Regions from separate parts of the Mus musculus genome. Here region 2 is reported to be linked to region 1. Evidence: microRNA targets listed by miRTarBase, many of them from high-throughput screens and not tested one by one. Region 1 holds a microRNA gene; the other region holds the end of a gene's coding sequence.

Region 1 (3,406 bases):
AACTAAACACTCCTCTCTGGCTTAGCATGGTAGGACCACACACAACCCAGGAAAGGTAGGGTGATAACTTTGTTGTTAAGAGTTATTGCTTGAGCCAGACGATGGTGGCCCATGCCTTTAATCCCAGCACTCGGGAGACAGAGGCATAGACAGGTGGATTTCTGAGTTCGAGGCCAGCCTGGTCTACAGAGTGAGTTCCAGGACAGCCAGGGCTACACAGAGAAACCCTGTCTCGGGGAAAAAAAAAAAAAAAGAAAAGTTATTGCTTGGAGCTGGAGCGATGGCTTAGCGGCTAAGAGCACTGACTGCTCTTCCAGAGGTCCTGAGTTCAGTACCCAGCAACCACATGGTGGCTCATAACCATTTGTAATGGGCATCTGATGTTGTCTTCTGGGAAGATAGCAACAGTATACTCACATACATGAAATAAATAAGTAAATCTTAAAAAAAAAAAAAAAAGAGGCTGGTCCTCAAAAAAAAAACCAAAAAGAGTTACTGTTTTATGAGGGTTACTTGGCTTGGGTTCTTAGTAGTTTGATCATTTGGAAAGTATGATTAAAAGCAGTGCTTGGGTAGACACTCAGAGCCTTCCTACCTAAAATCACAGTTTGGCAGCTGGGCAGTGGTGTCGCACGCCTTTGATCCCAGTGCTCAGGAGGCAAAGGCAGGCAGACCTCTGATTTCCAAGGTCTATAGAGTGAGTTCCAGAAGAGCCAGAGAAACACTGTTTGGAAAAACAAACAAAAAAATCACAGTTTAACTGTGAGCCAGAGATGTATCTCATGGAAGTATAGATGCTTACCAAACAGCCTTCATTTCAGTCTGTAGAATGTAGAGCAGAGGGTATTCTAGAGGTTTTCCTTCACTGGTTAGCAAAACTGGACACTGACTTAAGCTCTGACCGCAATCTTTCACTGGGGTACCGTGGCTCGTGGTCAGGGCTATCCCAACAGAAATGTGGTTACACTTTACTGAACAGGAATAAAGCTCCGAGAAGCCAACCAGCAGCAACAATTTAATCGAAATGTTGAAGACATTGAATTGTGGCTGTATGAAGTAGAAGGTCATTTGGCTTCAGATGATTATGGTAAAGACCTCACTAATGTCCAGAACCTCCAGAAGAAGCATGCTCTGCTAGAGGCGGATGTTGCTGCTCACCAGGTAGTGCTGTGTGGGAATGGGGACCTAGAGAGGGGCAGGGCAGTGCTGTGTGGGAATGGGGGCCTAGGGAGGGGCAGGGCAGTGCTGTGTGGGAATGGGGGCCTAGAGAGGGGCCAGGGCAGTGCTGTGTGGGAAGTGGGGACCTAGGGAGGGGCAGGGCAGTGCTGTGTGGGAGAAATATGCATGTTGAACTTTCCAAGGGGATACTATTGGGGGAAGATGAACTATGAGGCTCTCTTACAGAGCGCTGTGCTCAGTGTTTTTTCTCAGAGCTCTCTGGGAGCCTAAAGTGAGGGGGCCCTAGCAGGACAAATATTCTGAGAGTAGGACTCCCACTGTTACATTTTCTTTGTGTTTGAGGAATCCTCATCCCCAAGTAACAGGCTGGAGAGGTGCAGAACAGAGTCTCTGGAGTCTCTCAAACCTTACCCTCCTGTTTCCAGGATCGAATTGATGGCATCACAATTCAGGCCCGCCAGTTCCAAGATGCTGGCCATTTTGATGCCGAAAATATTAAGAAGAAGCAAGAGGCCCTTGTGGCTCGCTATGAGGCTCTTAAGGAACCCATGGTGGCCCGGAAACAGAAGCTGGCAGATTCTCTTCGTCTGCAGCAGCTCTTCCGGGATGTGGAGGACGAAGAAACCTGGATTCGAGAAAAGGAGCCTATTGCTGCATCCACTAACAGAGGTTAGTGTATCTGCCCCAAGCAGATCCATGCCATTACCACATCCTATACATAAAGGAGATGTATCTGAGGAAGTGAAGTGGAAGTTTAGATCCCTATACTGTGGCAGTGGTGGGAGCCCATTACTGACAGTTCAATGGGAGAATGGATTCTGCTTTTAGGCAAAGATCTTATTGGAGTCCAGAATCTGCTAAAGAAACACCAAGCTTTGCAAGCAGAGATTGCTGGGCATGAACCTCGAATCAAAGCAGTGACACAAAAGGGAAATGCCATGGTGGAGGAAGGTGAGTGTGGTCAGTGACTGGACCTGCTTTTACTCTTTATGTCTTTACTCTGTCCCCTGTTGGCATAGAGTGCATGGACCTGAGCCCCGTTAATGAGGCCAGGGCTGAGTCTCCTTCTTGTGCTGTCATATGACTCTGGCCTGGCCTCACCTGAGTGTCACTGTCACTGTTCTCCACATCATCCTTCCAGGCCATTTTGCTGCAGAGGATGTGAAGGCCAAACTGAGTGAGCTCAACCAGAAGTGGGAGGCTCTGAAAGCCAAAGCCTCCCAGCGGAGGCAGGATCTAGAGGACTCGCTGCAGGCCCAGCAGTACTTTGCCGATGCCAATGAGGCTGAGTCCTGGATGCGGGAGAAGGAGCCCATTGTGGGCAGTACGGACTATGGGAAGGATGAAGACTCTGCTGAGGTAGCTCAAACCTGGGCATCACATGGACTTGGGAATTGGCCCCAGCCTCAGAGTAGGAAGCAAGGTAGTGGAGAAGGTATTGCAGAAAGGATAAAGTATACTGCAGCTGCTTTGTAAAGTGTCAGCAATCTTACTTTTTATTTTGGAAGTTCAGAATCAAGAAGAGCCTGTCACCTACTTTCAACTGTTAACATTTGCTGTTGTCTCATTATTCTTAGTCACATGCATGCAGACATGTGACTCATATCTGGTTCATGTAGTCGTCAGACCTACTTCTTAACAATCTTGTCAAAACCAGAATGAGAGCTAGGGTCTCTGCTCAGTGGTAAAGCACTAGTTGCTTGTATACAGTTGTGGATTCCATTCCCAGTACCAAAAACCTCCCTAGGTGAGTTGAGCCTTCACATGAACAGGATTTTCCCCAAGAATGGGAGAACCAAAAACACTGGAGGTCCTGTTAGTAAGCAGTGACAAAGTAGCCCTATAAAAAGGCATTCTCAAGTACACTGAGTCTGCTCTGTGTGTGTCTATGTTATTCAGATACATTGTAATTAGGTAAAAATGGTAAAGAGGAGATTGTAACTAGGCAGTATTTCTTCTCTGAAATTAGAAAGCAGGAAGAATTGGGATGGTAAGATGGCTAAGTGGGCAAGGGCACTTGGGCCAAGCCTCTTGACCTCAGTTTAATACCCAGACCCATATGTCTGCAAATTGTCCTCTGACCTCCATGCTTTTCCATGGTGTATGCACACACACAAAGAAGTAACTGTAGGCCAACATGCATGGAGAAAACTTGACAAGGTCCTTACCCCTCTAGATAAAATGCTGTAAGTGATCAGTAGCTGCGGAGAGAAGGAGATCCGCTTCC
Region 2 (3,406 bases), not on the chromosome of region 1:
TGGGAACTCAGGTCCTTGGGAAGAACAGTAGGTGCTCTTAACCACTGAGACATCTCTCTAGTCCTTTTAAATGATGTCTGTAATTCTAGCTCCAGGGGATCTGACACCCTCACTCAGATATGCATGCAGGCAACACACCAATGTTCATAAAAATGATTTTTAAAAGTCCAGAATTTTTATTTATTCACACTGCACTTCAAAAACGTAGATATAAATAATAATCTACATTTAAAGTTTACCATAGCACTCGGGAGGCAGAGGCAGGTGGATTTCTGAGTTCGAGGCCAGCCTGGTCTACAAAGTGAGTTCCAGGACAGCCAGGGCTATACAGAGAAACCCTGTCTCAAAAACAAAAACAAAAACAAAAAAAACCCCAAAACAAACAAAGTTTACCATAATCTAACTATTCTAGAGGACATATTTCAATGGCTACACATAGCTTTGAAATTTTCCCTTTAAAATGACAAATAACAAAAATTAAACAAATAGACTGAGGTCACTAAAACTAATTTCATCAGCTCAAATTTGTAAACCATCCACAAAATTAACTATAGGAATGGACTGTACTCCTTTAAGCCTAGAGGCAGACAGGTAGATCTCTTTTGTTTGACAAGAGATCTACATAGTGAATTCCAGGCCAGCCAGGGCTAAATAGAAAGATGTATACACACACAGAGTCTTAGTTTGGGTTTTATTGCTATAAAGAGACAACATGACCATAGCAACTTTTTTAAAGGAAAAAAAAAATTAATTTGGGGCTGCCAAAGGTCCATTATCATCATGGTGGAAAGCATGGCGGCATGCAGACAGACATGGTACTAGAGGAGCTGAGAGTTCTATAGTTTGATCCACAGACAGCAGGAGATTGTATGTCACACTGGGCATGACTTGAGCATTGGAGACCTAAAAATCTGCCCCCACAGTGACACATTACCTCCTACAAAGGCCACACTATTCCAACGTTACACCTAATAGTGCCACTCCCCAAAGGCCAAGCATTCAAATATATGAGTCTGTGTAGGCCAAATCTATTCAAAACACCACCACCACCACACACACACACACACACACACACACACACACACACACACACACACACACACACACACACGTTCAAACCCCAGGGAATCTGTTCTGGAACACGTAATCATAACACCCATCAGTCACACAGCATAAGAACCTGGAGTTCTCCATGCTAATGAAGTAGCTACACAGGCCCTGAGTGTTCAGCCAATGAGCTTCCCCTTCCTGGGCATTTCTTCCTGCAAAAGGTATTTAATCCCTGGTTCACCTTGAGTAAGGTGTATGCATTCACATCCACCATCAAAGAAAGGACCATCTATTTCTTCATCAAGGATTCCAGGGTGGGGAGGGGCTTCAGACCTAAATCTCTCAGAGAAGGCCTTCTCTTCCAGCCTCTCCCATACATACTCTTGGCCCTGACTTGGAGCCAAACCTGGCTCTGCCTCTCTCTAGGGCTTAGCTGTCCCCAGGCACAAAGACTTGGAGGGGAGGCACAGACCTTCAACCCCTATTACAGACTGTGTGCTGCCTCCAACAATGGCTTGCAGGAGGTGCTCTGGGCAACCCAGCAGCAAGGAGGACACACAGACCAGGAGTCAGCAAACCAAACCAACTCAACTAACTAAACAGTGATATGTTAATTGCTTTCAAAGCTACATTTGTTTATTTTTAATTTTATTTCGTATTTGTTTGAGTGTTCTGCCTACAAGTATGTATGTATACTATATACATGCTTAGTGTCCGTGGAGGGCTGAGGAGGGGGGGGGTCAGATCCCCTGGAACTGGAGTTACTTGGTGCTGATAACTGATCCAGGTCTTCTAAAAGAGCAACAAGTGCTCTTAACTCCTGCGTCCTCTCTCTAGGCCCCCAAAGCTACATTTAAGAATATGGAGGGACAGAGACATGACTCAGAAATTACTTAAGATCCCATATCTGGCAGCCAACCACATATAACTCCAGTTCTAGGGGACATGATGCCCTCTTCCATGCTTTGAAGGCCTCCACACAGTTGGCAAACACACAGATACATATACACACACTTCAAACATATTATAGTGTTTTATTTCTATTATTTTTTAGGCAATTGACAAAGAAATTTTCCACTCTGGGTGGTAAATCCAGATAGGTAACATAAGGTCAGCTTTCCACATTACTCAAAATAAAAACACATTAAAATATAATTATAGAACAGTGCTTCAGAAAATCTTTTCAGGAGCTAGGGAAACAGCTCCATGGGTAAAGTGCCTGACATGCAGGCATGAGGACGGCATATAATAAAAGCTGGTGCAGTGCAGCACATGTGTGCATCTTGGTGCTGCTGGGGTAGATAGGTGGCCCTGAAGCAGTGAGCTCCACGTTCAGGGAGAGATTTTTTTCTTAAAATTTAAGGAGGGCCTAGAAAGATGTTCAGTGGGTAAAAGCCCTTGCTCTGCAAGCCTGACGACCTGAGTTCAATTCTCAGAGCCCACAGTGTGCTACACACCTGCATCCCAGGGTTCCTAGTGAGACAGGAGGCCAAAACAGAAGTAGTTAAAGTGTGCAGACCTGGAGAATGAAGAGACAAAACAGAAGACCCTGCCTCAGAGACAGGGTGGAGGAGCTGGAGAGATGGATGGCTCAGCAGTTGGGAACATTTTTGGTTCTTGCAGGACTAGGTTCTGGTTCTCAGCACCTTCATGGTGGTTCAGTTACTTCTAACTCCAGTTCCACGAGATCCACCACCCTCCGCTTGCTTTTGTAGGCACCCGCACACACACAGTGCACACACACACACACAGTGCACACACACACACAGTGCACACACACACACACACACACTACACTCTGACTAGCACATCATCAGTTAACTGGATACACTGGCATCAGCATTTGGTCAGCATTCTTCCTCTGGTTCTCGTGACCGTTTCCGGAAATTCAAAGAACTCTCTGTCTGTGATGAGGCAGCAGTGACAACAGCGTCTCTAAATCCCTGAGGCTGCAAGGTAGAGAAATACACACATAAAATATATATATACACACACACATAAAAGACAATTTAAAAAGATTAATTTTCCAAATAGTCTTTAAATAAGCTATGTTATTCTTGGGAGAGAATTTATTAATCATTGAATAAAGAGGATAAACTTTGCAGGTGGTCTAACCCAGAGTTTTATTAGAGCATTTTATATATGCTCTTCTATACACACATTAAAAAAAAATAACACTGCATAAGGATGCTTTCTAAGACCTGACCTGTACGTAGATGAGTGGTGATGTCCAAGTTAACAACAAAAAAGCTCTCTAGAAAGAATCCTAAAAAGCTGTATGGCGCCTTGGCTAGGAGAAGTGGAAAGTAGTGTGTATAGCCACGTAGGCACTTCACAAATCACTTTATAGTAAAAT

What was found. The annotated mature microRNA mmu-miR-6997-3p reads UCAAACCUUACCCUCCUGUUUCC and lies in region 1 at 1,580-1,602, shown strand. An mRNA with a match to its seed (bases 2 to 7 or 8) in the 3' UTR can be bound and repressed. Matches are read on the target gene's strand: a 7mer-m8 pairs with bases 2 to 8, a 7mer-A1 pairs with bases 2 to 7 and ends in A, and an 8mer does both.
Region 2: the mRNA of Rad51c is a reported target of mmu-miR-6997-3p. Seed matches in the 3' UTR shown: 7mer-m8 at 1,452-1,458 and 7mer-A1 at 1,114-1,120.

Annotation. Positions count from the first base shown.
Region 1 is chr2:29,994,417-29,997,822 of GRCm38, forward strand. It overlaps Mir6997 (microRNA 6997), which reads left to right and starts at 1,534; the gene lies at 1,534-1,604. Sptan1 (spectrin alpha, non-erythrocytic 1) reads left to right here. Exons shown (of 57, transcript NM_001177667.1): 16 at 980-1,161; 17 at 1,605-1,848; 18 at 2,008-2,130; 19 at 2,321-2,538.
Region 2 is chr11:87,376,489-87,379,894 of GRCm38, forward strand. Rad51c (RAD51 paralog C) reads right to left here. Exons shown (of 9, transcript NM_053269.4): 9 at 157-2,999. The coding sequence ends at 2,898. Among named protein-coding and RNA genes, the nearest start is that of Ppm1e, 19 kb to the left of the region's middle.